Linked DNA regions of Macaca mulatta. The protein of the gene in region 4 interacts with the protein of the main gene of each other region in a pairwise test. Links are inferred from orthologs where the notes say so. Each region holds a gene or a part of one and is shown on either strand. Other genes may lie near its edges. The genes, in order: LMO4, LENG1, CEP95, MTUS2, C8H8orf34, CCDC116 and ZC2HC1C.

Region 1 (4,470 bases), on a different chromosome or scaffold from region 4:
CTGGGGCCACGAGCTCCTCTCAACTTTCCAGCGCTTGCCGCCGCTGACAATTTCAGCTCCGGTACTGTCAAAACTCCGAGAGCAGGCTCCGCCGCGCGCTCCACCCCTCGCGGCGCCTCCTCCCAGCCCCCGCCTCCGCCCACTGCCCCCCTCCTCCGCCGCCCGCCTGCAGCAAATGAGGGTCAAACCCACCCACCGCCGTGCCCGGCCCCTCCCCAGCCCCCGCCGGGCCCCGGGACAGAGTCGAGGGGAGTGGTGAGGCGACGGCCCCGCCGGAGCCTCGTTCCCTCCCGGGCTCTGCCCTGGGAAGTGCAGCAGGAGTTCACAAGTTGGAAATAGTTCGGTTTTCCGAAAGGGAAGGAGGGAGGGACCGGCAGACGGAAGATGGAGAGCGTGGTGGTGGGAGGGAAGGCAAGGTGACGGCAGAGGGGGTGCAGTGTGTAAAGTTGCGAAACTGGTTTTTCGTATTTTAAGCAGCACCTTTCACATGCCATTGTGGTGACCGCCATCTCCCATTATTGTTCCAAATCTCATTTCATTTTGAAGATCAATGAGTGTTTTCTCTGGGTTTTCAGGACACAGGCAAGAATAATAGATCATTGAACTTTAGGATGCCTGTTAACTTCCTATACAAACACTCTCCACTTTGGTCTCACTAATCTGCCCTTGATCAGCAATTTAAATGCTAAAGCTTTGTTCCTCCAAAGGGGGGGGGGGTCGGCGTTACAGATAACGTGCGAGAAGGCAGCATTAAGGGATGCACAAGTTAAATTCGAGCCCGTTCTGCTGTCACCAAAAACTGCTTTAAAAAAGAATTCCCCACTCTAATGAATGCCACAAGAGATGCAACTGGGATATAATATAGGAATCAATTTATAAAGCTTAGCCTAAACCGATTAATTTGTTGCCTTCAATTCCGAGTCCAATAAAGTCCTAGTGTTCCTCTAGTCACTTATTCTATAAAAAGATCAAGTTATTTACTGCCAATTAAGCAGCCTGTTTTGTCTTTGTCCTCTGTAAGCTGAGAGTGTGGGCTCCCCCTGAGGCTCCCGGCTATCTGCTCAAGACATTCAGCTGATACCTCAGAAGAAGGCGAACTTTGCCTGTCCCCGGCCCAACTTGGCTGCTGCAAAAAAACGAGGAAGGAACGAACGAAACAGGGACTCGGGTTCCTTAAATAGGCCGATTTTAAACACATTTCCTCCGAAAGAGTCCCGGAACGTGTGTCCAGTGACCGCACAATAAACCAGAATAAGAACTGCACCAATTAAGCTGTAACAAAACCCTGAGACTTTGGAAACAGGACCACTCTAAAACCCATTAGCATTGCATTTATCCGAATGCATCATACCTTTATGTAAATTGATTTATCTGATGCATTTACTCGAGGAATTGCTTTTTGTTACAATTTCAGCCCTAACCCAAATGAATCTGCATTTCCTGCCCTAGGTCTTTAAACTGTTTCCCCCAACGTTTTAATCGCTCCGAATTCCTTTTTAAAAGGAGAGAGGGAGGAGATTCCCAGCTCTTCCCCGCCCCCATCTTTAGTGAGAGGTAAATATATATGTATTTTTTTTTTTTTGAAAAGGAAACATTACACTGAGAAAAGCATCCAGTAACCCCATTAGCTAAAGCTCTTAAGGACAAGCAATACCTTAATGCTGATTAAATCTAAAAGAGATGAATCAAGAGGACTGACCAGAAACTGACTCCCCTGATAACTAAGGACGGGCCCTCATCAAGTTTCATTTAGAGTTGGAAAAAAAAAAAAAAAGAAGAAGAAAGCTTTTAAGTTAAATAGGCTTATACTCTAGTAATTACATAGCCAAGCAATTTAGGTCCTGGGATAGTCAGTGAAATAGAAAGCAGAACTGGCAGCTAGAGGCAAAATCTGCCCCCCTTTAATAACGTCTCTGGTGTTTTTTAATGGAGACCAAGGGAGGGACAAACGTAACGCTGGCAATTTGTAGTACAAAAATGGATGCTTAATTCATGTCTTGATTTTAATTAGGTGATTCACCGTATTTCTCCTGGATTGTAACAAAAGACTTATAAACCAAGAGGTTTTAAAAAGAACTAGCAATACCGAATCCTGCTCACTTAGACCCTTCCTGCCACTGTTTCAAAATTAGTGTTTACTAGAAGGGGGGGGTTATCGTGACTATCCCCACCCCCACCCCCCCAAACACACTACTTCTCATACTTAAAACCTCATCTAAGCACCCCTTGCCCTTTCCCTCATGAACTAGAAATATCCCACCCCCTCTACGGTCCCCACCAGCCCCGTTTCCAAGAAGAGCCCTTTTGTAAGCAGGAACCGCTACAAAGCTGGCGGCCCGGGGCTGCCCTCCGCGCTAGCTCGCAGGCCGGCCTCGGTAGTTTCAGACTCGCGCTTTATCTAAGGCGACGTATTGTTTACTTGCAATTTGGGACGGTAAGGGGAAGGAAGCCAAAGAAAACAGCCCTGGCCCGAATCGGCCCCCTCCCTCTCTCTCCCACCTCCCGGCCCGCGGCTCCCCCAGCCGCCCCCTTACCTGCTTTTCCCCTATATTGCAATATTGCAAGAGGCGGCGGCGGTGAAATGCGAACGAAGCCGCTCGGCTTCCAGGGAAGGGGCGCCTGGGCTGGCGGAGCTGGAGGGAGGGAGGGAGTTCTCGCAGAAGCAGGAAAGGGGAGGAGGGGGCTAAGGGCGGCTTTTTTTTTTTAAATCGCGTTGCTCTGGGGCGGGTTGGGGGGCCCCCGCGTAAGTGGCAGGCGGCCGGGAGCAGAAGTGTCAGTCTCAGTCTTCGTCCTTCTCCTCCGCCTCCGGCTGCGCGCGAGCAGCTGCAGGAGCCCTCGGCCCGCGCGACGCGGCTTCAGGCGCGGTGCAGCGGCAGCAACTGCTGCAATCGCTGCTGCAAGTTTGGCAATGTGGCTTCACTTTGTATATTCCCCCGCCCGGCGGCCCCCGCCCCCGCCCGCGCTCCTCGCGCTCCTCCCGCTCCTCCTCCTCCGCCGCCGCCTTCCTCCCTCCCGCGCGCTCGCTAGCTCGCTCGCTCGCTCCGGGCTGGCAGCGGCGGCTCGACTGAGCTCCCTGCACCTCCGCCCGGGAGCAGCCGCAGACACAGAAACCCGGGGAGCGGCGGCGGACGGTGCGGAGGCCGGCAGGCAGGCGCGCCCAGGAGTCGGGAGCTGCGGCCGGCCGGGCCCGACGCGCTGGAGCCTACGCCGCTGCCGGGACTGTTGCCGGGGCTGCTGCTGCCCGGCGCGGAGGCGGAGGCGGAGGAGGCGGCGGCGGCGGCGGCGGCGGCGGCGCTGGCCTCTAGCCGGCTCGCTCGCTCCCTCCGCGGCTCTTACACATGTGTTACTGACAGAGCAAAATCCCAACTACTCCCCGGCTCTGCCTCCGACGTCAGCGACCCTCAGCCACTGGGCGGCCGGATTGTTCAGGCGGAATAATAAAACCTGCCAATCCGGGGAAGGACAAAGGGATGACTGAAACGAGACTCGGGGGGCGGGGGAGAGAGTGAGGCGGCGGAGCGGGCCGACAGAGGAGAAGGGAAGGGCCCGAATCAGGTGGGGAGAAGTGACCCGCTTGGCGCCTGGCGCCGGGGACCCGCTTGGGCTGACCTTCGCGACCCGGGATCCGGAGCCGAGACCCGGTGGGGCGGGGGGGCCTCACCTGCCTTCTCTGCGCACGGGGACCCTGAGGACCCGCTCCCGCTCGCTCCTCGGGGACTGCCATCCCCTCGATCTGAGAGGAGACCCTTAGGAAACTTACCATCTTTCTCAGAAATGGGTATCTTCCTGTTTGGGAAGATAAGTCCTGCATCTTAGGGCAGTGAACTTCTATCCCCTCACGCACACGCACACAGAAGAGGGTTTTTGTTGTTGTTTCTTTAATTCACGATATTGGAGATTTATGAACCGTAGTGGAAGCTTAGTTAACAAGGTAGAAACATAAAGGAAATAATAGTTGCTAGCTAAATACTGCCTACTTAGCCTCCCTCATCCCCCATTTACCCGAGTGTGAAAGTGCCTAGCAGGCATTTCTTGGATCCTTGTCAATTGCTGGTGATGTAGGGAGCACAGTCCTTATTTTCAAAGTTGACGAAAACTTCAGGGAGAAAACCTTGCCCGACTACCCTCCTCACTGTGGAGGATGAGAGGCGGAAATTCTCACAGCCCCCAAAAGCAATGGAAGTAATTGCGAGATTTGCAATCTCACAGCCTCTAGAGAGTAAGAAATGTCACTTCTAGTATAAATCAAGTTTTGAGGAATGCTTTTAGGGTGCTGGCCTGAGTTTTTCCAAGGCCGAAGCACAGCCTAGATGCTTGCATACCTAGGCGTTCGACTTTATCTACTCTGCCAAATAAGTTTAATAAATCTCCAAACTGAGGCTAATATTAGGCCTGATTATTGTTAGTAAGTTCCAGAGAGATTTTTGTGGTGGAAATTATCATGAAAGTGCAAAGCCCTTCTGCTAAGTA
Region 2 (4,283 bases), on a different chromosome or scaffold from region 4:
GCAGTCGTCCATCTGGGCCCAGATCCCTGAGTCTATTTCCAGCCTCCCTGAGACCACCCAGAACTTCCTCTTCTTCCTGGGGACCCAGGCTTTTGCTGCGCCCCTTCTGCTGATCTCCAGGTGAGGTGGACCAGACTTCTGGGTCTGGGTTTGAATGCGTGTGATCTGGGGGCCACCACCTGCGTCCAAGAGAGGAAAGGCTTGGGGGTGGGAGCAGGCAATGTACTGAGTCTGAGGGAGGAGGCCTAGGCTCCTGGACTGCTGGGTCCGAAGGAGGAGGTGGGCGGGACTTAGGACTCCTGGATCTGAACGCGGAGGTGCTGGGAGACTGAACTCCTTGAGCCTGGACGAGGAGGGACTTAGGGGTCCACATCCCTGACTTCGAAGAGCGTGTCAGGAGTGGCTTCCGTTCCTGTCTCCTCCAGCATCCTGATGGCGTACACTGTGGCTCGGGCTAACTCCTACGGACGCCTCATCTCTGAGCTCAAACGTCAGAGGGAGACGGTGAGCCAGGCGGGTCCCTGAGAGGGCCCCCGGGGAACACGGAGAGGGGCTGGGGAAGAGGGCTGTCACACCTCCACCTCTCTTTGCCGCAGGAGGCGCAGAATAAAGTCTTCCTGGCACGGCGCGCTGTGGCGCTGACCTCCACCGAACCGGCTCTTTGACCCCCGCAGCTCACGCCCCACTTTCAGACCCCAGGCCCATTGTAAGCCTAGGTCACAACATCTGTAAACTAGGAGAACTGGAGAAGACTCCACGCCCTTCCAGCTTTGATATCTGGAGATTTCCAGGGCCCCTCGCCGCCACGTCCCTGACTCTCGGGTGATCTTTCTTGTATCAATAAATACAGCCGAGGTTGCTGAGCGCGCTTTGAAATCTGCGTCCTGAAGGTGGGGGCAGGGCTACCGCAGGGCAGGAGCCAATCAAATGTATGGGCATGTTTGTCGGTGCGGAGCGCACTTCCGCAAGGAGACTTGACGGTCATGTCGACCAATCGACGGCCGCATGTGGTAGCATCGGGGCGGGCCAACTTATGATTGGTTCAGATCTGTGATAAGAGGCGGTTGCTAGGGGATACCACGAGCCGAACGCCTAACATTCGCTGTGAAAAGGACGTCTCAGCCAATCACCTGTCGTTACAGGCCAGGGGGCCGTACCAACTAATTCGGAACCAATCTGCGGTCGAAGTAGGGACAAGAGGAAGGGGGGCATCCTCTCGCCAATCGGAAGTGCAAAGAGGCGGGCGTGCCAGTCCCTGGACAGCTACGACGCCATGAATATCTTGCCCAAGAAGAGCTGGCACGTCCGGAATAAGGACAATGTCGCCCGCGTGCGGCGTGACGAGGCCCAGGCCCGGGAGGAGGAGAAGGAGCGTGAGCGGAGGGCGCTGCTGGCTCAGCAAGAGGTAAGCTCGGAGGCCGGCCGGGCTGACCGCCGGAGCCCAGCGCGCACGCGCCGCGGTTGGGGGCCGGAAGCGGAGGCGTTGCGCAGGCTCAGTGTGCCCCGTGTGAAATTCGGGACCAGGCGCCGATCCCGTTTTCGAGGACGTTGCTCTGCAAACCTTGTGGCCACTTCCACGAAACCTCCCTTGATCTCGCCTTCGTCTTAGTTTCCCCCCACTGATGTATTTCACATGGCTGGAACAGTGTCTAGCACAAAAGAGCAGCTTAAAAACATTTAATGAATACATGAGCGCTTGGACAGTTCAAGGAAATTCGGATCACGTTTTAGTTTGCCTGCGCAGTTTATTTATTGAGCACCTATTGTATGCTAACTACATGCAGAGCGCCTGACTTGCGGAATCCCCAGGAGGCACTGTTCGTTCTTAGAGGGGCACTGTCATCTCCGTTGCACGGAGTGAGATGGCTTCAGTGAGGGGAAGGCACATTTAAGGAGAGGGGGACAGCCAGGCTCCACGCCATCGGGCGAGCCCTTTCCTGCACCGCCCCCTAGACACATACACACAAACACGGGCTTTCTGTATGGCTCCTTAAATCTGTTTGGTGTACACCCAACTTTCAGTTCCTTAGCTAGTCTGATCCTCCACAGTGGGTGGGAGGTAGTCTGGGTTTTTAGAATCTCAGTAGGCTGCTGAGCGCTGTTTGAAATCTGCGTCCCGAAGGCGGGGGACAGGGCTTCAGCAGTCGACTTGGGGTAGTGACTTGGAGCCATGGCTAGAATTCAGATCGTCTGGCCTAATGCAGTTTGGTCTACCTTTATGGCTGTTTTAATTGTCTCACTTGAGGTTAGGAACCCCTTTGGTTTAGGCCAGGGACCTCCTTCCAGCCATCCTTGATGACCCGTGGTTTACGATTTGAAAGGCAGTTTACAAAACCCAGGCGTTGCCTCATCTGCCTACCCTCACCCGCAGCTAGGACAGGTGCCTCTTTTAGGCGTCTAGTGCTCCCTTTCTTATAACCCCAGCACCCTGGACTGCCATTTTCTGTGGTGGGCACCAGACTCACAGTTCTTGAATCACCTCTAGGTTCTGAATGCCCTGCCTATAACTTTCTCCCCAGGCCCGTACAGAATTCCTACGAAAGAAAGCCAGACATCAGAACTCACTGCCTGAGCTTGAAGCAGCAGAGGCGGGAGCCCCAAGTTCTGGCCCTGTGGACCTGTTTCGGGAGCTGCTGGAGGAAGGGAAAGGAGTGATCAGAGGCAATAAAGAGTACGAGGAAGAAAAGCGACAGGAGAAAGTAAGCTGGCCTCACCCACTTCATTAGAGGAGCCATGAATCGAGTTGGGGGGAGAGGGCACTTTAGCCACTGCTTGTGATCAAGGTCAAACGAGAACGAACACACAGAATTTAGAACCATACCAAAGCATGACACTTAAGAAGTGTTGCCATCTGGGCACCCACAGGGCTTGGAGGTAGATGCTAGAGGTCCCCAGCTGCTAGGCAAACTGCTCAGTTCTCAAAACTGGAGGGGTCTGAAACCTTGATAGGCTTTTAAAAATGTAAATCAGCCAGCTGTGGCTCATGCCTGTAATCCCAGCACTTTGGGAGGCTGAGGCGGGTGGATCACCTGAGGTCAGGAGTTCAAGACCAGCCTGGTCAACATGGTATCTCTAAAAATACAAAAAAATAAGCCAAGTGTGGTGGTGCACGCCTGTAATCCAGCTACTTGGAGGCTGAAGCAGGAGAATCGCTTGACCTGGGAGGTGGAAGTTGCAGTGAGCTGAGATTGCGCCACTGCACTCCAGCCCAGGTGACAGAGCGAGACCCCATCTCAAAAAAAAAAAGAGAAAAAAAAAAAAAGGCGAATCATTCGCCTCTTGCCTTTTGGCTAAGATCAAGTGTAAAAAGTATGTCTGGTCGTGCATGGTGGCTCACACCTGTAATCCCAGCACATTGGGAGGCCAAGGTGGATGGATCACCTGAGGTCAGGAGTTCAAGACCAGCCTGGCCAAACATGGCAAAACCCCGTCTGTACTAAAAATACAAAAATTAGCCGGGCATGGTGGTGCGTGCCTGTAATCCCAGCTACTAGGGGGGCTGAGGCAGGAGGATTGCTTGAACCTGGGAGGCAGAGGTTGCAGTGAGCCGAGATGGTGCCACTACACTCGAGCCTGGGCAACAGAGCGAGACTGCATCTCAAAAAAAAACAGGTACATGAGCTCTTGTCACTCACCTGCTGTCTCTGGACTTGCTGACCCCACCCATGGCTCCTCTGCTTTGCTTGATCCCTTCAGGCTTCTCTTCAAGTCTCTCTGCAAAGATGCCTGCCTCTGAACACTCAAGTGGCTCCACTTGTCCCCTCCTTCCCCTGCTGTTACCTGCCACTGTCCCCCCACGGGGAACTTGGCCTCTGTTGGTGTCTTCCATCCCCAGCACCTGGTACAACTGGTTCATGACAAGCCTTAGGTACCTGTTTGCTTAGATTCCTATGTCAGGGAGACACACCTGACACCTTGAAAGATTATATCCCATCTCTTGTATTTCCTGGCCCCCTCAGGAGAGGCAAGAGAAAGCTCTGGGCATCCTGACGTACCTGGGCCAGAGTGCAGCGGAGGCACAGACTCAACCCCCTTGGTACCAGCTACCCCCAGAGCGAGGGGGGCCCCCTCCTGGCCCAGCCCCAGATGAGAAGATCAAGAGCCGTCTGGACCCTCTTCGGGAGATGCAGAAGCATCTGGGGAAGAAGAGACGGCACAGCGGTGAAGGCAATTGCAGCAGAAAGGAAAAGAAGGAGGGGTCTGAGAAGCTGCGACCCAAGGAGTAAGAAGGAAGACCCTCCTCGGCAGACCAGGGCCCAGACTTTCAGGGCTTGGCAGCAGCC
Region 3 (3,786 bases), on a different chromosome or scaffold from region 4:
TGAAATGGGGTCACCTACAGACTCTTATGTAGGTGTTTCAGTTATTAGTGTTTTTCCCCCCCATAGCAAAGTACCATCTGCAGTTCCTGAGATCTTTCTGGAACTGTTTAGTATTATAGTTCTCATGGCTTATCTCTACTCCACACTCAGGCAAAGATTTTCAAATCTCTTCCTTTGGCAGATTGTTTCTGACCTCCATCCTCTCCCTTCATAATTCTCTAAGTACAATTTCTCATCAAAATTGTAACGGAGGCTGATAAATCCCGGAGCTCTCTACTTGGGACCTGAGGATGGGAGATGGCAAACAGCACTAAGTTCAGCCACTTGGCACCTAGACGGATCCATGGAGGTCCACAGACAGAACTGGATTAAAATCTCAGCTGTGTCCCTCGCTTATCAGTGAGACCCAGGGCAAGTTACTTAATATCTCAAAGCTTCAGGGTTTTCATTTCATAGAAAACATCTCTAATATATTACTATAAAGACTAACTGCAACTGTGTACATAAAGTACCTAGCTCTTCCCCTGCCCATTCTGGGTTTGTTTTATTGTTGTTGAGACAGGGTCTCACTTTGGCATGCAGGCTGGAGTGCAGTGGCAAGATCACAGCTCACTGCAGCCTTGCCCTCCCACGCTTCCCACTTCTGCCTCCCAAGTAGCTGGGACCACAGGCAAATGCCACCATGCCAGGCTCATTTTTTCCATACCCATATATATATTTTTTAAGACAGGGTCCCACTATGTTGCTGAGGCTGGTCTCAAGTGATCCTCTCACCTCAGCCTCCCAAAGTGCTGGGATTACAGGCATGGGCTATCAATTTTGGTTAAAGACCTAAGCAACACTTCCACATGCAGGTGTTAGAGGTGAAGGGTCTGTGGGACTGTTGCCCAGCTAGCACACATAAAGGGAATGAATATAACAAATTCAAAATTATAATACCCAACTTGCTCTTGACATACCAGTCTCTTGTTATGTTCATACTCTTTCCTGACAAGGGTAGTAAGGAGGTCATGCCTTCTTAGGGCTTCTTCTATCTTGAAGGGGGACACGAAATCAAGTAGGTTAATAATGCTGTTCACTCAATTCTCAAGGATAAGCTCTTCTCTCATTTAAATTTCTATGCTTAAGACTGACAGTAACTTACTTCATCTTGCAGTTTCTTCTTTGATCGATTTTCTCTACATGCCTCTTTCTTAAGCTGTTCAACCTGTGCAATTTGCTGTTTCCACATTTTGCTTAGTGTTGGGCCAGAAACATAGAGAAATGGAAACTGCTCCAGCATAAGGGGCAGGAGACTGTGTTCACTTACTTTCACTGCAAGGTAAAAGAAGATGTTCTTAATCTGAGACTTGTGGACAAGAACTGTCATCCAACATCCCTGGTAGATCAAAGCTTATGTAAGTGATGTGGTTTTGATTCTGTAAAGAACAATTCTAAATGTACTTATAATAATTTGCATTCCTCCTCTGATTGGAGTAAGCCAACTACTGATAAGGATAAAAATACATTCTGACTGATGCCATGCTGGTCCTGGGAAGTCCATCCTAATTGCTCAGCTGCTTCAGTGCCTGCGGGTAGATTCTCTACGTATGGTAAAATAGAAGACTCCTCAACCCTCCTGGTAGGCAAGTGCTTAGAAGAAACGTTTCTGGTCTAAAGGATATAGTAGGAGGGCCAGCAATCTTTGGGGTATAACAGGAAGCCTGGCATTTCTCATGGCTTTGTTTCCTTGTAACAAGACTCTACACTCATTGGCACTGTCAATATACAGGAGGTGGACAGGTCATCTGCTTGCCTTGGAGCATCCCCTTCATTCTACCAACTTCCCAGAAACAGACAAAAAGGCATCCAAAGTGAGTAAGCACAGGAGTGAGGCTAATGGTGGCGCAGCAGGTGGCAGTCCTGGCATTCCTTGGGTGCCAATATATAGGCCTCCCTAAGGTACTTCCTTATTGAAGAGTTTTGGCAGTGGAAAGAAAAAAAAAACAACTTTCTTCAGCTAACTGGTGGATGTTAGCTTTCAGTGCTGTGTCCCTGGAATGCTGCACTCGCTTTCAAAGGCTGCCAGTTTTCCATAAAGTACAATTCTGTGGTTCTTACTTGGAACTGCTTTGTTTGGCTTTGGGAGGCCACCTCTTGGACTCTGAGTTGTGGTTTTTCTAGAGTAAATCTTCCAGGGCTGACTACATTCTGGAGTTTCTTTAAGAACAGCTTCTCCTCTGTATATTTTTTCCTTAGAAGCAGATACAAAACAATAAAAATAAAAGGTCTAATAGTTCTTTCATGCATCATCTTAAATATTACATATTGACAAAAATAGCTAACTACTTCCCACCTTACTTCAAATTTGTAAAATCTGGTTAATAATTCACTCACTCTAAACTAAAGGCATCTTTTGGCCTCTGGCATCCCTTGGAATTTGAAAAAGCACTGAATCTTTTTCAAGTTTCAGTCACCATAGTCCCACACCCTAAATACAACCACTATTATTAATTTTTTTTTTTAACCTATTAATGTTTCGATGTACTTCTCTTTTTCCATGTAGATTTAAAAAAATTCTCAAGCAACTATGCAGTATGCTTAGTTGTAACCATACTGTACTTTATATCCTGTTTTGTTCACTAATATTTTAGCATAAGCATTTTCCCCATGATTTCATTTCGTTTCTGTAACCATTCTTTTGAAAGGCAATGAAAACTTCAGTTTTGAGTTTCTTACAACCAGGTCTAGAGCAACTAGGATGTTCTGTCTTCTCTTACTCTTCTTTAATTTTGTCAGCCTAGACTAGTTTTTAAGACCTTGAACTGCTAAGTCAAATACCCTTATAAAAACTGATGGTAAGTTTTAAGTAGGGGAAAAAAACGCTAGTTTTCTTTGGTACCACGTCTTGTCATATTTTAGCAACCTGAATGCCTTATTAAGAAGTAAAAGTCCTGTATCATGACATGAAATCCTGCCTTTTCCTAAAGAGCTCATGATTAAGGCCCTGTTGGCCCCTTCTTCTTTTAAAAAGATCATCTTTGTACTTCCCCCTCATCTGATCAAATGGCATTTATTACAGTGTAGACTTTTACCCACTGTTTCCTCCTCCTTCTCATGTATTCTTAGAGGTCCAATATTCTCTTGAACTTTATGTCTTCTTAGTTCCCTTTCAAATGCTTCAGTAAATGCCTATAGGGGAAAAGGTCATATGATAGTACAGTTGTTAAAAACATATATAACGGGCAGCACCATGGCTTAGCTGGGTAAAGCACCCGTCTAGTAAACAGGAGATCCAGGGTTTGAATCCCAGCGGTGCCTCAACTGAGCATCCAAGCTTAGTCGCATGCAGTGAGGCTGAGCCAGGTGGATCACCTGAGGTTGGGAGTTCAAGACCAGCCTGACCAACATGGAGAAACCCCATCTCTACTAAAAATACAAAATTAGCTGGGCGTGGTGGTGCATGCCTGTAATCTCAGCTACTCAGGAAGCTGAGGCAGGAGAATCACTTGTACCCGGGAAGCAGAGGTTGAGGTAAGCCGAGATCACACCACTGCACTCCAGCCTGGGCAACAAGAGTGAAACTCCGCCTTGAGAAAAAAAAAAAAAAAAAAATCCTGCCACCGCGCCCAGCTAACTTTTTTTTTTTGTATTTTTAGTAGAGACGGTGTTTCACCGTGATCTCAATCTCCTGACCTTGTGATCTGCCCACCTTGGCCTCCCAAAGGGTTGGGATTACAGGCATGAGCCACCGCGCCCAGCCGCTCATTCACTTTTTAAAAAATTCCTTTCAGACTCTGTATCACA
Region 4 (3,786 bases):
CCACGGGAGGCTGGGCACGGTGGCTCACGCCTGTAATCCCAACACTCTGGGAGGCTGAGGCGGGTGGATCACTTGAGGTCAGGAGTTCAAGATCAGCCTGGGCAACATGGCGAAACCCTGTCTCTACTAAAAATACAAACATTAGCTGGGTGTGCTGGTGCGCACCTGTAGTCCCAGCTACTTGGGAGGCTGAGATGGGAGGATCCCTTGGATCCCTTGAGCCTGGGAGGTGGAGGTTCCAGTGAGCCGAGATCGTACCATTGCACTCCAGCCTGGGCAACAGAGTGAGACCCTGTCTCTCTCTCTCTCTTTCTCTCTCCTTCTCTCTTTTTTTTTTTTTTGTGTGTGTATCTGTATATCTATATACTTTTTTAGAAGAGTTAATGGGAGACCCTAGTTTCTGTGTTTTGATATTATAGAAATGGTGCTGGGCAAAGAGCTTTGGACTGGTCTGCATGAGTGAGACATGACGGGTGAAGCTCTCCTTGGGCATCAGCGGTCCTTTGCCAGCCTGTGGTCCTGAGAGTCATGGCCGGAGCTGAGTGGGGCAGGGTCAGTGCAGGTGCATCTGCGCTGGGAGCTGGGGAAGGGGTGCAGTGTCTCCATAGACACCCTTATATTCCTTCAACCTGCAGGTGGAGAGTGGCCAGCGGCCTGCCTAACTGGCAGGCATGGGAAGGCTAAGGGCTGGGAGCGCCAGTCTGGCCACGGGGCGGGTCTGAGCAGGGAGGAGGAGACTGTGTGGAGTTGGCTTACGTGGCAGCTCCTATCAAGGACATGCAACCCAGTCCTGAGGCCGGGAAGGCTGTGTGGGAGCCAGAGTGAAGCGGGAGTGAGAGGGAGCTGGCTGGAGGAAGGCACTGGCAGCAGGAGAGCTGGCACAAGAGGAAAGGGAGGCAGCGAGGCTGGGAGGACGCTGTGTTAGGGAGTGTGCACTGCAGCTTGAGGGCAGTGGGGTAGGAGAGAGGAGAAGGACAGGTTCCGGTTTGCACGTTAGAAAGAGTGCCTCACTACAGTGTGAGGGCAAAGGAGTGATCATTCAGAAAAAAACAGGAACCGTCTCAGAAAGTAGCCAGCAGAGTGGCCGGAGCTCAGGGGAGTCTGTGGGTTCTAGGGACATTCAGGATGGCAGGACTTGATTATGGACTTCGTGATGAGAAGGTTTGGTGATGTGGGAGGGGTCCCAAGGGAGAGAAGGAAGTCAAGGAGGGCTTGAAGGGTTCTGGATTGAGCTTCCTAAATGAGAATACATCTTTGAAATACGTTCATCGTGGTCCTTCCCAAAGCCAGGGGCTGGGTGCCTCCTGGACAAGAGGCGCCTCTGAGGATTCTCTCTGAGGATTGTCTGCCTCTGTGGGATCAGAGGTTGTGAAACGCCCCCGGCTCACTGTGCTTTTGTGGTCTCTTCCTGACAAAGCACCAAGGAGGAGTGAGCTGAGGGCAGACGCGGGGGGACACCCTCCTCCATTGTGTGGCTATGGGGGTTCCCCTTTGGCATCTCTTTCTCCAGCCCCCAGGGAAACACTCTGAGGGTGCTCAGGGCACAGTGGTGGCCCACTGATCACAGCTGCCCAGGCTGTGGTGGCTGCTGTCTGTAGTGGCCCCAGCTGGACTCCTTGTATCATTACTTGCAGGACCAGGTGGACACGCTGACCTTCCAGAGCCAGTCTCTGCGGGACAGAGCCCGCCGCTTCGAAGAGGCCTTGAGGAGGAACACAGAGGAGCAGCTGGAGGTAGTGTCTGGATTCCAGGCTTCCAGCCCCGCAGGGACCCCGCCCCAGCGAGGCCAGCGGGGCTCCCTCAGCAGTCCAGTCCCGAGACAAGGCCTCTCTGTGAATCCACTGCTGAAGTGACAGCTGGTCACGGCCTCCCCTGGATTTTTAAACAATTGCTGTCAGCACCTCTCCCCTGAGACAGACAGCAGCTGTGGGTTTCTCCAGCGACGTGTTATTTTTGCCAAATTCCGCAGCATTCCCCAGCTGGAGTCCCAGGGCTCCTGTGATAAGCATGGTCTGGAAACCCCCACCCTGGCCCGGCCACCCCTTCCAGCCCGTTCCCCCGGCCCGGCCACCCCTTGCGGCCCGTTCCCCCGGCCCGGCCACCCCTTCCAGCCCGTTCTCCCGCAACTTTTTAGGCTGACGTGGGGCAGCCTTGGCTGCAGCATGCGTTAACAGGTTGAGGGGAATTTTTTCCAGAAAAGCTGGCAAAGTTCCTTCCCTCTAATGTAGGGTTGCCAAATAAAATACAGGACACCCAGTTAAATTTGAATTACAGATAAATTTTTGAGTATAAGTCTGTCCCATGCAATACTTATACTGAATTTTTTAAAATGTCATTTATCTGAATTTGGATTTAACAGGACCTACTGTATTTTAATTTGTTACATCCAGCAGCACTACCCCAACGTGACTTTTGTCTAAAATGGCTTTTCTGCTTCTTAAACCACTTGACTCATTTCCTATGCATGGGCTCTTTACGGGCATAGGTGAGACCTGTAAGAGTCCCAGCTACCTCGTGAATCAAGTCTTCCGGGTGAATGTTAAAAGCCAGTGTTGGGTTTACTCTTTCTACCCCATGAGCTCCCTGCTAGGCATAGGCTGGCAGCACCCAGCAGTTCTGGAGTCAGACTTTCCAGTTCACGATGGCCGTGTCTCACCTGCTCCCCCATAGAACTGGATTTTAGGAGGCTTCTCAGTGGGAAACTTTATCAGGGAAGGCTGTAGCATCCTCTCTCTTTGGTGTCGCAGTTGCCATCAGGGCGCTTGTCCCAGGAGGATGGATTTAGCTGGATTCGTGGTATTGGTTAATACTGGGTTTTGTCGGGAGCCCTGGTCAACAGCTCATGGCTCTCTGCCCCTGTAGATTGCATTGGCTCCTTATCAGCACTTGGAAGAAGACATGAAGAGTCTGAAGCAGGTATTAGAGATGAAGAATCAGCAAATACATGAGCAGGAAAAGAAGATTCTCGAGCTGGAAAAGCTGGTGAGTTGGTCCGTTTGCTCGCGAGAGTAACTAACCTCCATGACATTCCTGCTGTCATCACTGAGGTCATCGTTGACACTGAGGTGTTCAGCCAGGTGTGTCTGTTACCTGCCCATTGCTTACACCTATGCAGAAAATCCCACCGCAGGCCTTTCCCAGGAAGCCAGGAGCTCTCATAAGGAATCTTGGAGGTGGCCTTATCTTGTCCAACTCTGGAGCCTTTCTGATGGGTGGCCTCTTTCTGCTTTGCGCTGGTTTTCCCACAGTCCTGCTGTCTCCTTGCCCTCTCTTGGGGACGTGTGGTGACCCAGCACAATGCAGCATCCCCAGTGCCCAGGCACTGCACGGAGCACTTTCCCCGAGCCTGCTCCTAACTCCTACAGCTGCCTGTGGAGGAGCTGCCGCCCCCAGCCGCTTTACAGATGCGGAGATGGAGCTAGGAGTCCTGGCCCAGTGCTTCGGGTCCTCACAAGGCAGTAGGGGCCAGGGATCTCCCTGGGGCCCTTTTTATAAGGGTATTAATCCCGTTCACAGGGGCTCACCCTCAGGACCTAATCCCCTCCCCACAGCTCTGCCTCCTAATACCATCACTTTGGGGTTAGGTTTCAGCATAGGAATTTTCAGGGACACAAACATTCAGTCCAGAACAGAGTCCTTGCTCTCACCCACACTCGTCCACCTCAGCCCACCAGCCTGGCTCCTGCAGAGCTAGTAAAGGGGAGCACAGAACACCCAGGATTTCACACAAGCCCCTGGCCAGGGCTAGAGTCCCAGAAAGGTGTGCAAAGGGAATGGAGGAGAAGC
Region 5 (4,524 bases), on a different chromosome or scaffold from region 4:
TAACATTCATGGATTATCTTTAAAGTACCTCACACCAATTAAGTTTTCTTAAAACATTCCTAACTTAAACTATCCACAAGGGGGACATATTGTCAGATACTGCACATTTTCCAAACTGAAAGAAGCCTGTGTCAGCTCCCACTGACTCAACACAACAAAGCATAGATGACGAGACATGGAGTTGCCAATTTCAATTTGTGAGTGGTAAATGGAGATTTTAGTTCAGTTTCTCAAAACGTGGCCCAGAAATTAAAATTGTAGCAAACATTTTTGCTGCTTCTTAATACGTTCAGATTGCTGGGCGCCTCCTCTGACCCAAATCAATTCTTGTGAAAACTATTGAGTAAGGTCCTAGAAGAGAACTGTCCCTAGGTAAACAATGTCCATTTCACAGGTGGCATTTCTTCACTGGTTTTCTAACATGAAACAAGATAGGCTACATGCTAGTAAAATCCTCCAATTTTGTGAAATACATATAATTGTACTCTCAAAATCAAGCTCTATCGTAATCAAAATTGTTGCATAAGGAACTGTGTTACATCCGGCTTTTAGTAAAAGAGAATTTATTATCCATTTTTCTCCCTTCAATTATTTAAAGTGAACATCAAACCTTAAAAACGCACTCCTCACCACTGCAATCTAAGCTAATGCCAGTGTATGTCATACATATTCAATAAAATATGAAGCATGGTGGTGCTTGTTTTCTGGTGATTGGACCTAAAGCTTTTATGAGACATGTTGCTGTCACTTAAAATTCTTCAGCGCAGAACTTGCTGGTGAGTATTAAAGGATGGGGGTTAGGGGGTACTTGATAAATATCCATTTGAGTTTATTTTCTAATTCTGTAGAAAGTTTACATATATTCCTAATTTTGTTGTTATCACTTGGAAAGAATCTTGAGGATTTTAGAATAACAAATGAAAACAGTATTTATTAAAAACAATTCGTTTATTCTGTCAGGCTAATTGTACTTTATACTCTACGAGTGTAGAGAGCAAACACACATTCTAAATGTATTTATTTTATGATTCTTTTGATGCAATTAATACACCGCGTTGCAGAAGGTTTATGCTTCTGCCTTTTAAAAATTATATAGGATTATGTATAATCAATAATCATTAAACTAAAGGCAAAGAAATCTGGTAGCTCCATCAATTTTATTTCGCTCTTGCATGGATTGCCTTTGTTCACATTTTTGGCAGAAAAAAGAATCAAAGCAATTGTAAGACTCTGCACCCCACAATGTGAGCTTCACTTGAAACAATGGTCCTATCGTCCAAGACAGATCATCGGTAAAGTTCGGCAGAAAAACTTGGGAGATCTTGCAAATCTTGTTATGTGAAGCCAGTCCTCCCAAAAGACCTATTCGACCACACCTTTGTCCTCCTCGTCCTTTTTTTGCAGGGTCATTAACTCGCATTATTTTTTTGTTCTCCGCAGTTCTCACTTGCTTTTCTTCAGTCTTTGCTAGGTTCTCCGCGATCTCCAATGCAGCCTCTTCCACTAGCCGCGATTCTGCCTCTCTCAGACGCTGACACGTAACCTCCCCCGATCCCCACCCCAAGCCCTCACCCAAGACCAAGAACAGCTACAACTGCTTCTGGGAGACGTGGGGGGCGGGGGCAAGGCGGGAGCACCTCGCCCCTCCCGCTAACTCTCGCCGCCGGTCAGTACCCCCTGAACTGGATGGGACCATGGGAGTCTCTCCCCAAGGGCCTCCACTTCTGACCACGGACCGCACGCCCCACCCCTGCCCAGCACCCTGGCAACCCCCGGGACGCTTTGCTGGTGCCAAGCTTCAATCTCTTGTTCTCATTTTCTCGTGTCCTCCCGCTCTTTCTTCTACTGTATTTTTGTCAATTCTTTAATGGCGAGGAAAAAAAAAAAAACACCAGCTCAGAGCTATAGTCTCCTTCCATAAATACGTGTGTGCTTTTCAGAACCTTTCTCTGTCCCTTTCTCCTGCTAACACATGTGGGGTCTGCAGTGCAAAGGCCTCTCCTTTCGTCCAGTGACCAATGGCAGTCTCTCAGTTTGCCAGTTTCATTCATCACGCCCGCACCTACTGAAGCCTACTCCTCACCAGTTCAGCTTTCTTCCAGTTAATCGTATTAACTGCTAAGCACCTCCTCCGCCTTTTCGGGTTTTATTACCGCCCTCATTAAAAAAAAAAAAAAAAAAAAGAAAGAAAGAAAAGAAAAAGAAAAAAGAAAAAAGAAAATCCAACACGAACACGCAAGACAGCGTGAATTCAAGAAAGAAAGTGTGTATGTGCAACACCGTCTGAGTGTGTGCATCCGTATGCATCGCCTGCCTCAGCCTGCCCGGGTACTGAACATGTGGCTGAGAGGTGCACGACAGTCAGAGGGCTCAAACTTCCGCTGCCAGGCTGAGGCTGGGCCCTCCCAAGCTCACCTGTCTGTGTTCAGGTAACTGGCTAAGTGCCCGCCCGGCCGCGTTCCAGGACACCTGGCCGGGACAGAGCGAATGCCAGTGAACCCCTGGGCGCCCCCTCCCGCGCGTTCGTTTTCTAGCCCTCCTTCCCTGGGAGGGGTGGGGTGGGGGGTGTTCTGTTTTCATTACTGCACCCCTTCCCCTAAAGACAACGGGACTACCCTCCTCCACAGCGCCTTACCTCAAACAGGGGACCGATCTTGTTCTTCTCCAGGTAAGCCTGGATCCGGGTTTGCGGATGAGACGCCATGGGGAGCAGATGGGACCGCGGAGAGAGTGCGGGGAGAACGCGCGGCTGTGCGCCTCCGCTGGGGACAACCCTCCTTTTACCCGGACTGGGGCCGGGACAGGAGCTCCGGAGCCTCGGCTGCCCTGCGTGGCTGGCTTGGCCCCGGCCGCGGCCGTGAGTGGCAGCCCGGGGAGCCACGCGCGCGTGGGGCGCTGAGAGCCGGAAGCCTGGGCGCAGCGCCGCCAACTCAGACAACTCCGAGGCTAGGGGAGAACTCATTCATCGCGTTCTCCGCCTCGCGTCCACCCTCGCCGCTAGCCGCAGCGCCCGGCGCAGTGGGGAAATTCGAGGCAGAGGTTCCTTTCTCCTCTGGGCGGCAGCAGCAGGAATCAGGGGGCGGGAGGCGAGCCGTGCCGAGGGGCGCACGCGGGCGGACAGGGGACGCGGGGCTCGAACTCGCCGCCAGCGTCTGTGCGTGCGTGTGTGTGTGTCCGTGCGCGCGCGACTGTGTGTGCCTGCTCTCCCAGGTGACGGGAACAAACAGCCCGGGCTTCTTCCCGAGGCTGCTCGCTCTACCAGCCGCTCCCTAGCGACAGCGCCGCTTAAAAAGCCAATGGTGAAGGTGCTTCTTTCAAAGTGCACATAAATCTGGTGCTTGTTGGCTACTCCTTGGCAGCTACAAATGCAGTTCTAAAGGCGATCGTCCCCACCGCCCCTTCTGAGCCTCTCCTCAGCACCTTCTGCCCTGCCTACACTAGCGCAGGGGTTGAGAAGGCCAGAGTTGTGAGAAAGTGCGTGGGTTCAAGGGTTTGCCGCGAAAAAAGAAGTTGCCTTCGTTTTCAAAATCTGGCTTGGCCTGGAGCAAGTCGACGGGTGAATGCAGCCTGAGAACCCAGCTGAAAACTCCCAAAGTGCGGGCGCTCAAAGGCTGGAACCAGCCCTTCAGCATTTGACAGGGAGAAGAGAAATGAGCGAGCCAGCCCTCCCCTCCGAAGTTGGCCTTACTAATCCACTCCTTGAGTCATGTCTGTATACCTATAACTGCATCTTAGACGCCACACTATCCCACTTAACAATGTTTCCTCTAGATACTGCATGAGCTGCTCGAATTTAGCCAATACCTTTCTTATTATGCAGGGATTTCAGAGTCGAAGATTTGCAGATAGCCCAGGCTTCCTCACAGAGCTCTCTTTCTTGTGAAACACAACACTGAGGTCCCAATGACGATTTCCCTGGCTCCTAATCATGATATGCTGCCAAAATTAGATTTATTTTTAATAAATATGATGTTCAGAATGATGGAAATAGTTTTCCTAAAAGCTGACTGCAGCAGTATATATTTTCTTTCTTTCTTCACTGTGTTCTCAATTTCTGTTACTCATAGTTTCTTTATTGGTGTTCATGCTTTCCTTCTGTATTTTAAATATGTGGAAACATGTAATAGTTAGATAATAGTGGAATATCCCAGGAACTATTGTTAATTTCCTATATTAAGATATAAGAAATCTGCTAGAATAGCTAGGAGCTTAACCATCCCTGATAACCTGAAATGGACATGATCCAGGGTGGAAAGATGTCCACATTAATACTTTTAAATTGGACTCATATGATCTGCCTAGGGAGAGTTAAATTAAACAACAGTGAGGTGCCCAGGGTTGCCTTGTGCTTTCCATTGTGGTTCGAAGGTATATTTACTTACGTATTTTTTTTTTTTTTTTTTTTTTTTTTTTTGAGACGGAGTCTCACGCTGTTGCCCAGGCTGGAGTGCAGTGGCGCGATCTCGGCTCACTGCAAGCTCCGCCTCCCGGGTTCCCGCCATTCTCCTGCCTCAGCCTCCTGAG
Region 6 (4,511 bases), on a different chromosome or scaffold from region 4:
TAGCCTTTATTTATCTGTGACAACACCTGGTAGTAGCTAGGCCAGGATTCACGGGCCCCCATCAGCTTGACCCCTGCCCAGGAGGTTTCCACAGTGCAGGGCAAGAAACCTTGACCTTGAGCACCTGCCAGTGATAGTGGCTGCTAGGAGTGGCGGGTCAAGGAGCCTTTCTCCTGCAAACTCATGTCCGGTCCTACCTTCGAGGAGGTCACCTCTGGACACAGTGAGGAGGGAGATGAGGAAGCAACTGGGGAGAGCTCAGGGAGAAGGTAGCAGGAAGAGCGGGGGTAGGGGCAGGCAAGTGGAGGTGTGACAACCCTGAGGTGGCCCTGGCCGCAGGCCACCTCCACCACTATCCCGGGCGCGGGCAGGGTGAGGTGCAGGCCCCGCCAGGGCTGGGCCCTCTGTCTGGAGCTCAGGGAAACAGGTGGGTTTTGTAATTTGGGATCTGAGTCAGGCTCCTTCTCCCTGGAGTGGAGTGAGGGGCTGGGGACATCGGGCTTCTCCATGGGTGTCACCTTGAGCTTGAATCTGGTGGCCACCTGGGCACTAGACATGGAGGGGGAGCCTCCTCTGTCCTTGTGTTTTCTCTGAGGCGTCTTGGGGCTGGAGACTGTGGGGTGGGGCTGCCCGCTGTTGGTGGGTTTAGCCGGCTCAGAGCCCAGCGGCGGCAGATTGCGTTGAACCTGCAGCTCTGAGGGGGGCTCCAAGCTGGTGGGGAACAGAGGACGGCCGTCGCGGCAGCGGGCGCCGCGGAGCTTATCCACAGCCTGGTTGACGACGCTCTGCAGGGCAGGGAAGAGGCGGTGGTCAGCCAGGAAGTTCAGTGTGCGATGGGGCTCACGGAGCGGACAGTAGCCAGGCAGGTCGAGGGACTCCAGCTGGCTCAGTAACGACTTGATCTCTTTATTGAACTCTCGTTTGCAGATCGGCTCCTGTTCTCCAGGCCTCGGCTCTGATGCTTCAGGCACACCAGAGCTTGAGCCCAGCAGCTCCGAGAACCAGGACAGGGGCTGCTCCTGGGTCCACTGAAAGCTGGTCTGGCTGCCCAGCAAATCCCACAGCAGGGAGTCCCTCTTGGAGCAGGACTGACTGAGGCCTTTCTGCAGAAAGAGGGTGACTCTGAGAAGTGTTCAGGAGCAGCCAAGCCAGGGCTGACCCTGGCCCTGGGCTCTCCGTGGGAGTCCACCCCACCCAGCCATGGCCCCGGCTCTCACCCCTTTCTTCTCCAGCTGTAGCAGCCGCTTGAGATTCTTCTCCAGCAGGAGTTTGTCCTTCACAGGTGGCAGTGAGCCTAAACCTTGGGCACCTAGGTCACTGTCCCGGCTGTGGGAGCCCAGCCAGCCAGCCATGAGGCTGCTATGGGAGTCGGACATGGAGCTGGAGCTGGATGGGTAGTTGTTGGGGTGTCCAGTGCAGAGGGTCGGCCGTACACGGTGCCGGTGTACAGTGCTGAGGCTGGGCCGGGCATGTGCCCGCCGCCCACCACTTGGCACCTCCACTGGGTCCTGCACCTCCACAAGCGGCACCCCAGCCTCGGTCTTCATGGCAGCCATGCGCTCAGTCGCCTTCTCCACCACTGTCTCCAGGCTGTCCAGGACATGGCTCTCAGTCAGGAAATCCAGAAAGTGGCTAAAGGGCTGAGGGTGCCTCTTGTTTCGGCGTTGGTTCTGGAGCGCTGAGCTGCCACATGTGGATGGTGGGTGTGGCACATGGCCCGGCTTGGAGGCTGGCCCCATCTCTGGAACCAGTGGCTTCTTGGGTAGCTGCACCTGAGCAGACAGGTATGTCACAGTGGGCATGGGTGCCCTACAGGTGAAGGGCTCCCTGGGGTCTTCCTAGGGTAACACTAGGACCTGAGTGAGAGTGAGTAGTGGAAGGAGCTGCATTTTGAAGTCTGGAGGCCCTGGATTTGGACCCTGGCTCTGCCACCTACAGCCTGATGACAGTGTGCAAGATGGCCCCTCTTGAGGTCCAATTTCCTTATCTGCAAAGTGGAGGTCTATTCAGGGTCGCCCTGAAGCTTTCCTAACACCTACATTTCACACACACAAGTCCTGGCTAAGGGACTTAGCCTGCTTCTGCCCTGATACATGGCAGGATGAGCAATCATGAACCTCTTGGAGTCTCCCTCCAGCTCCTCATCTGTCCATGCAGCAGGCCATCCCTGTCTCCATGGCAGGGCTGCAAACAACACCTGAGGTCTTGAGTGCAGACAATAGCTGAGGTCTTGAGCCCTGTGCTACCCAGGGCTGTTTCTCCAACTTGAGCCCTAGGCACCTAGTCAACTCCCAGTTCCCACTCTAGGGTCCCAGTTCACCCAAGCACCTTCCAGGTCGCTGGAAGTCAGAAGGAAACAAGGAATGAAATTGAGTGTGACAGGGGCAAGCAGGGGAGTCATAGGAGAAGTCAAGGCAATAAGGACTCAGCTAAGAGGCCCACAGAGCAGGTCAATAGACAATGAGAAATGGGGGCTGTGGTCTTGGGTGTCAGGGTTGGCGGGGAACATGTTGTGGCCTTAAGGGTCGGGGTCCTGCTGGGCACACTTACTCGTGCACTGCACATGGAGTGGCTGGCCTCATCGTCAGCCACGTAGCCCGAGTGGTGGCGGCACCTGGCCATGTGGTCACCTGGCAGGTGACCGAGCCTGCTGCCCACCTCTCTCTTCAGCTGCGCATTCCTCTCTGCGCGGGCTGGGGAGACAACGTGAGGGTCTCCAATAGGTCCACACATCTGTGGCCCTGGAATCTGCGGTTCCCTTGCTGCCCGCACCCCGTGTCCTTCATGCATCCAGCCCTTCCTCTGCTCCATGGCCCTCATGCGTCTGCAGGCAGGCAGTTCCCAGAGTCATCGGGATGGAATCGCCGAGGACCATCCTGTCTCCGATCATCTTTGGATCTGCGTGTGCTTAACCCTCCCTACTCCCAAACCCTGGGCAACCTGGCTTTCGCCCCAGCCCGGAATCAACGGACTCACCAGAAACACCGCCTTGCTCCGCGCAGGCCAGTACAGTCTGCGCCCTCACTGGGGCAGCTATACAGTGCGAGGAAGTCGACTGGCGGCCTCCACTTGCTTATTTGCATACCACATCCTCATTGGTTCTTACCGAGGAGCTCATCCACTACCCTCTCCGACACAATAGTTGGGGGCGGGGCCCACATTGGCCCAACCTCCAATTCTCTGGACTCTGCTCTCCCACACTCGTCTGGGAGCCGCAGGGTGAAGATGTTGGTGTCTACGTCCCCGCTGCCGGGAGGACCCCCACCCACCACCGAAGCTGGGGCTAGGCTCTATGATCCGCTCCTGCCCCGAGGGGAGTCTAAAAGCCAAAGCCACGTCTTCCACCGGTGATACAAGCACCTTCCTCGTGTCCTACCTGGTCGCTGCGCAGCCCTGGGCCTCCTGCTCCTGTTCCTTTCCAGGGGCCTCTGCCCCTCCCGCGGTGTGCACAGCCCCAGGTTCTACCTTGAGACTTCTCCCCTCTGCAGTGGAGAGAGTGCTGGCTCTCAGTCACAGACCTAGCTTCAGTTCCTGGCTCTGCTCTTTCCTGCCAATGTGACTCAGCCTCTCTTAGCATTGGTCCTGCACTCTAAATGGGCTTGAGTGTTCTTCCAATATGGGAATATGGGATTCAATACAATCTCCCTACAACACACCCCGTATCCCAGTGAAGCCTTGAATATTCTTACCTCCTCTCCCTCCCTCCTTTTCTCTTTTGCTCAGTAATACCCCACCACAGTGTCACTTCTTCCAAAAAGCTTTTACTGTGAATTCTGCCACTCCGTACACGATTCACAGTAAACCCCATTCCAGACTCCACCATACCATGTTGCTACTTATGTGTCTACCAGATGGTGCTCCTTTGGGGCCAGAACTGAGGCAAGTCACCCTGAATCTTTAATACTTTCAGTGTCTGGCACCAAGTAGGTGCTCAATAAATGTCAGTCTCCTCCTTCCCATCTGCGCACCCTCGGGACCTCTGACCTTTCCAAGATCAGCTTCCAGTGGAGAATGGTGGTTGGTTGAGGTCTGACAATTCACCAGTCACTATAAACACAACAGTCGTTATGCCAAGAGCATGGTTGAAGGACTCTATGAGGCTTTCAATCCTCACATACCTCATGAAATATTGTTACTCTCGAGTTCTGCTCTGTCCTCTCAGCTCTGGCTACCCACTAGGTCAGGGACAGAGAGGACAAAGCAGGTCTGGGTGCAGGCCCTGAGCTGTGAGGTTCAGTCTTATCTCCACTACTCCTGGCAGGACCACACTTTCGCTCTCTGACCCCCCGTTTCCTAATCTGTGAAACAGGAATGACATTACCAATTTCATAGTCTGGACACAAATACCATGGGAAAAATCAAGACTGCCACGTTGCAGTGAAAACTGTGGCTGCCTACCATATACAGTCATGGGTAAGGAAAGCTTTTCTGGACCAAAGAGAAAAACAGTGAAGTTATTAATGTAAAAGCTGTAGCCTGGCAGAGAGCTCAAGATGGAAACAGGAGATAAT
Region 7 (4,487 bases), on a different chromosome or scaffold from region 4:
CACAAATTCTTGGTCTAGATTTTTTAGTCATTCTAACCAAGATTTATATGCTGACTCTGCCACTTAAAGCTGTTTGTGACCTCAAGCAAGTTACTTAGCCTGTCCAAGTCTTGATTTTTGAACTGATAAAATGAGAGATAAATGCGAGGATCACATGCAAAGCTCCCATCACAATGCTGGCATACAGTAGTAATCAAGAAATGTTAATTCTAGACGTCAATTCTTCCTACATGACACATGAATTTTCCCTAAAGAAAACTGATGATGACAAAACAGACCCCTACAATGATCCCCACACCAAGTCACATCCATAAGGCTCTTGTTACCTTGGCTGAAGCTGGCCCCTTCCAGTTCAAGTATTGCTCTAGTTCTGTGCCCTTAGCCCGGGCCCTGGAGGAGTCAAACACTTTCCTCTTGGAACCCTGTATCCTGCTGCAGATGTTGGAGTGTCTCTCCAGCCTGAACAAGAGGAATTTTCGCCCACAGTGGCTGCACTCACCCAGCTGTGGCTCTTCAGTGGAGCCGCTGGAACCTGAGGAGTCTGGTGCCATGGACAGGCTGGAATTTCTGGCAGATCCCTGCAAAGCACCGCCTGGTGTTTCTGAAGGCGGGGAGAACTTCTCCATCGACGGCTCTGAGACTCGGTCTCGAATTTTGTTATTGCTTGCTACCAGCCTTTCCCTTTTGAGTCTCTGAATTCTATAATCAGAGAGCTGGAATGGACTCGAATTTTGTTGAGACCGTTCCCAAGTTTCATCCTCTCTCCTGTCTCTACTAAATTCTTCCTCAAAATCAAATTCTGGGGAGAAGACAGCTTTGTGCGTGGTGTTGCTGTTATTACCTTTAACTCTGCTCCTGGGGAATATAATTTTCTGTAGCTCTCTGTTTTCATTTTCCTTGGCCTGCTCCTTTTGCGTCTGGATCCTTCTGAGTTCCTCCTCTGTCTTCTTCAGCTTTCCCCTCAGGAGAATCTGCTTTCTTCGGATTTCCTCCTCTAAGCTCTCCCCTGCAGCTTCTAGTCTTCGGATCTGCACCCACTCCATCCTGTCCAAGTTTGCCAAGGCCTTCTCCGCCTGCATGGCAGCAAGAACAGGATCAACCACAGAAAAGTTGACCTGGTTCCTCACATCAAAGTTCCTGGATGAAAACTCTCTCAGTTCAGGGGGCCTTGGGTAGACATTCTGGTCCCCATCAGTGCCAGACTCACCTGTACTGCACGACTTCCTGTGGACCACGGGTTTCAGTGGGTACGCCCGGTCCACTCCAACTCGTTTCTTTGTAAAGGGGATAAAGTCCTGGTTATTGGCTTTGGGATACCAGGATTGAGGGCCTGATGAGTAAATTTGTTTTACTTGGCCCTGGAAATCACTTCCTGCATCTTGGTGGCTGATTCCAGTACAGTGGGGATAGGAGTAGCTCCGGGCTTTTGTGTTCCATTTGGGGTGAGTGTGGACTTTATCCAGAGTCAACTCTTTGTTGCTCAAAAGCTGCTTCTGGAAATTGTTCCTCAGGTGCCCCTTCAAGGACTGCTGGGAAGAGTCACTTTGTTCGTAAGAGTCTTGCTTGGCTGAGTGGGGCCCTGGAGCTTCTGTTGTATTATGTGGAAGCATAACGCCCACAGGCAGATGTGATGCCAACCGCTGGAGACCAGCCATTCAGGGCCTGGACTGATGCCTACGGGAGATTTAAACCAGATACATGCGAAGAGTTTGTCTGAGGTTCACTCTCGTCTGCTAAAGCAAACTATTTCTACATTTGCCCTGCCCACATTTCCTTAAACTTTTCTGGGGACAGTGGTGCTGGATCTGCCAAAGCTTCCCTTCAAAAACCATTTGGTGAGTGATTACTATGCACAAGACACTGTGTTAGGCCCTGAGGGTAGAGAAACGGAGGTGCTACAGGTGTTCCTGCCACCTAGCTCTCCTCTCCTCCAGCACCAGCCTCTGCCACGCACAGTATACTCTACAGTAAGTGGAAAGAGCATCGGATTGAAAGTCAGGTTTTAGGCCTGTAACAGGACAAGCGACTTCTCCCTTGCTGGCCCCCGTTTCTTCACCTGTAAACTGAAGGGTTCCGTCCGAGTCCATCCTCACCATTTTACAGGTGAGCAAGCTGTGGCCCAGAGGTAGTGACTGGCACAAAGAGCTCTCAGGGCTTCCCTCCTGCTGGAACCGTGCTTGATTCAAAAGAGCACAGAGGCTGCTAGGGCCTGGAGCAGGTGCCTGGCTGTCAAACCCTCATCTCAGGAGTCCCCGTGGCGCAGACGGTAAAAGTTTTGTAACCTGAGCGTTGAGGGCCACCTGACCTGGCTGCAGCCGGTTTTAGATCCTTAAGGCTGAAGTCACGTTCTGTCCCGAAGGGTCAACTGGGGCGCCCCCACTACGGACTCCGCCTCTGGGGACAAGTCCTCTCTCTCTCCTGCCCTTCGGGCCCTTAGGAGGTGCTGACCCTCTGTCTCCCCGCCCTTCTGCGTACCTGAGGCCCTCGGGCACCGCTCCTGCTCAGGGAAAACCCCAGGGCCTAGTTTCCCAGACCCGACCTCCCCCTCAACCGACGGCCGCGCAGGCGCTCTCAGCTAGCTTCTGTTATTCCCGGTGCCTGGAGACCGAGTTACTGGCGGGCCAAGCTCCGCCCCTCGCTGCGAACTCCTTGGGGAGGCGTGCGCAGGCGCAGTGCACCAGCGACCCGGGGCGACCGGGGGTGGGGGGTGCGGTCAGCCCGACCGTCACTTGACCCAGTCAGTGTCCGGCCAACTCTGCAGCCGGGTCCAGCCCTGCCCTTGGGGAGCCGAGGAAGGGCGGGAGAGGCTTTTCTGGGGCTCCATCAAAGAAGAACTTGTACTTTCCTGAGAACGATGCTCCCAGACCTTGGGGTGTGCCCTTCACTGGCAAAGGGCGGAGGCCCTGGCTGTGCCTCCGCGTGCTTCCGCCGCAGGGTGCAGGCGACCGCCTGCCTGGTGGGAGCGGGGCTGCTGCTGACCTTTCTCGGCGCGCTTGGCTGCGCTGGGCGGGCCCCAGGTATGGCTGCACGTGCGCGCTCCCTGCTTGTCGTCGCCAAGTCTTTGGAACTTGCTGCCAACGTTTTTGCTACGCAGTATCTTTCCGGGGTAATTTTTGTGGCCAATCTAATTATTTTGATATTATAATGTTTTACTCTCACGTGGTAACTCTAGCCGTCTGTACTTAGGGCGTAGGAATGACTCAGCCAAGTGTAATGATAATAAAGAACTACCAGATCGAAAATAATCAGTATAACCTGGTTTCAACAGTAAATGATACTCTGTAACTTGTTGACATCAAAAGAAAGTTTATTTTTTTTTCTTCGTTTCAGTTCATCTGTGTAGGACGTTGGGAACAGGCAGTTCGCTTTTTCCCTGTAACTACTCAATTCATGCACTTGGAAAATAATGTAGACAAGCAGTCATCAGTGTTAATACTTCAACATGTCATATTACAGCTGTTACCTGTTACAAAGAAATTCCTTGGTGGACCCTCCAGGTCAGTCCTTCTTTTTTTTTCTTTTCTTTTTCTTTTTTTTTTTTTTTTTTTAATTCCTCGTTTTCATCCCTTGTTGCCTGCACCACCTCTACATATATGCAGCTCCAGATGTTTGCCACTCTACTCAGGGTCCCAATTATCAACTCCCGCAGCTTCCCTCAGCAGAATGTACGGGCTTTCTCTTTCTCTCTCTCTCTCCTCTTCCTTCTCTCCCTTTCTTCTCTGTCTCTGTCTGTCTCTGTCTCTGTCTGTCTCTCTCCCTCTCTCCTTCCCTCTCCTCTATGAGAAAGAAGGGCCACTTTCCATGAGTTCTCTTGAATTAGTGCTTTTCAGTACCCTCCGGGAATTGACTCCATCACTTTACCCCAGCGTTTTGTTTTTGTTTTCTGTTTTGTTGGTTTTGAGGGTTTTTTAAAATTTGTTTGTTTTTTGAGACAGAATCTCACCCTGTTGCCCAGGCTGGAGTGCAGTGGCGCAATCTCAGCTCACTGCCACCTCCGCCTCCTGGGTTCAAGTGATTCTCCTGCCTCAGCCTCCCGAGTAGCTGAGATTACAGGCGTCTGCCACCACACCTGGCTAATTTTTTGTATTTTTAGTAGAGATGGAGTTTCACCATGTTAGCCAGGCTGGTCTTGAACTCGTGACCCCAGGTGATCCGCCTGCCTCAGCCTCCCACAGTGCTGGGATTACAAACATGAGCCACCACGCCCGGACTTTGTTTGTTTTGAGATAGGGTCTCACTCTGTGGCCCAGGCTGGAGTGCAGTGGCACAATCACTGCTCACTGCAGCCTCGACTTCCACAGCTCAAGCGATCCTCCCACTTCAGCCTCCTGAGTAGCTGGGACTACAGGTGTGTGCCCCTCACACCCAGCTTACTTTTTTTTTTTTTTTTTCCTATAGCAACAGGGTCTCCCTTTGTTACCCAGGCTAGTCTCAAACCCCTGGAGTCAAAAGAGATCCTCCCGCCTCAGTCTCACAAAGTACTGAGA

The links.
Region 1: the proteins of MTUS2 (region 4) and LMO4 interact in binary tests that used the Homo sapiens proteins (3 or more experiments, as listed by UniProt). The link is inferred for Macaca mulatta from reciprocal best matches to the Homo sapiens genes MTUS2 and LMO4.
Region 2: the proteins of MTUS2 (region 4) and LENG1 interact in binary tests that used the Homo sapiens proteins (3 or more experiments, as listed by UniProt). The two-hybrid records come from large-scale screens. The link is inferred for Macaca mulatta from reciprocal best matches to the Homo sapiens genes MTUS2 and LENG1.
Region 3: the proteins of MTUS2 (region 4) and CEP95 interact in binary tests that used the Homo sapiens proteins (3 or more experiments, as listed by UniProt). The two-hybrid records come from large-scale screens. The link is inferred for Macaca mulatta from reciprocal best matches to the Homo sapiens genes MTUS2 and CEP95.
Region 5: the proteins of MTUS2 (region 4) and C8H8orf34 interact in a two-hybrid assay, tested with the Homo sapiens proteins (2 studies listed by BioGRID). The two-hybrid records come from large-scale screens. The link is inferred for Macaca mulatta from reciprocal best matches to the Homo sapiens genes MTUS2 and C8orf34.
Region 6: the proteins of MTUS2 (region 4) and CCDC116 interact in binary tests that used the Homo sapiens proteins (3 or more experiments, as listed by UniProt). The two-hybrid records come from large-scale screens. The link is inferred for Macaca mulatta from reciprocal best matches to the Homo sapiens genes MTUS2 and CCDC116.
Region 7: the proteins of MTUS2 (region 4) and ZC2HC1C interact in binary tests that used the Homo sapiens proteins (3 or more experiments, as listed by UniProt). The two-hybrid records come from large-scale screens. The link is inferred for Macaca mulatta from reciprocal best matches to the Homo sapiens genes MTUS2 and ZC2HC1C.

The regions. Positions count from the first base shown.
Region 1 is NC_133406.1:153,320,315-153,324,784, forward strand, and holds the start of LMO4 (LIM domain transcription factor LMO4), read right to left. Parts: upstream 2,909-4,470; 5' UTR 2,535-2,908; exon of another isoform or gene 1-2,534. Other genes in the region: uncharacterized protein LOC144332728, read left to right, coding at 2,909-3,478. UniProt on the Homo sapiens protein: Transcription cofactor. Plays a role in establishing motor neuron identity, in concert with MNX1, acting, at least in part, to disrupt LDB1-LHX3 complexes thereby negatively modulating interneuron genes in motor neurons.
Region 2 is NC_133424.1:66,391,055-66,395,337, reverse strand, and holds the start of LENG1 (leukocyte receptor cluster member 1), read left to right. Parts: upstream 1-1,250; 5' UTR 1,251-1,273; coding exon 1,274-1,405; intron 1,406-2,519; coding exon 2,520-2,699; intron 2,700-3,959; coding exon 3,960-4,222; intron 4,223-4,283. Other genes in the region: voltage-gated chloride channel TMC4, read left to right, coding at 1-120, 426-504, 597-665.
Region 3 is NC_133421.1:74,430,706-74,434,491, reverse strand, and holds part of CEP95 (centrosomal protein of 95 kDa), read right to left. Parts: intron 3,346-3,786; exon of another isoform or gene 3,172-3,345; coding exon 3,079-3,171; exon of another isoform or gene 2,483-3,078; intron 2,234-2,482; coding exon 2,101-2,233; intron 1,315-2,100; coding exon 1,145-1,314; intron 1,035-1,144; coding exon 960-1,034; intron 1-959.
Region 4 is NC_133422.1:9,392,593-9,396,378, forward strand, and holds part of MTUS2 (microtubule-associated tumor suppressor candidate 2), read left to right. Parts: intron 1-1,634; coding exon 1,635-1,733; intron 1,734-2,862; coding exon 2,863-2,982; intron 2,983-3,786. UniProt on the Homo sapiens protein: Binds microtubules. Together with MAPRE1 may target the microtubule depolymerase KIF2C to the plus-end of microtubules. May regulate the dynamics of microtubules at their growing distal tip.
Region 5 is NC_133413.1:78,994,637-78,999,160, reverse strand, and holds the start of C8H8orf34 (uncharacterized protein C8orf34 homolog), read right to left. Parts: upstream 3,021-4,524; 5' UTR 2,963-3,020; coding exon 2,636-2,962; intron 1-2,635.
Region 6 is NC_133415.1:31,362,000-31,366,510, forward strand, and holds the start of CCDC116 (coiled-coil domain-containing protein 116), read right to left. Parts: upstream 2,913-4,511; 5' UTR 2,821-2,912; coding exon 2,551-2,820; intron 1,773-2,550; coding exon 1,218-1,772; intron 1,104-1,217; coding exon 519-1,103; intron 1-518.
Region 7 is NC_133412.1:148,262,172-148,266,658, reverse strand, and holds the start of ZC2HC1C (zinc finger C2HC domain-containing protein 1C), read right to left. Parts: upstream 2,855-4,487; 5' UTR 2,476-2,854; exon of another isoform or gene 2,057-2,475; intron 1,675-2,056; 5' UTR 1,656-1,674; coding exon 327-1,655; intron 1-326. Other genes in the region: ACYP1 (acylphosphatase-1), read left to right, coding at 2,855-3,017.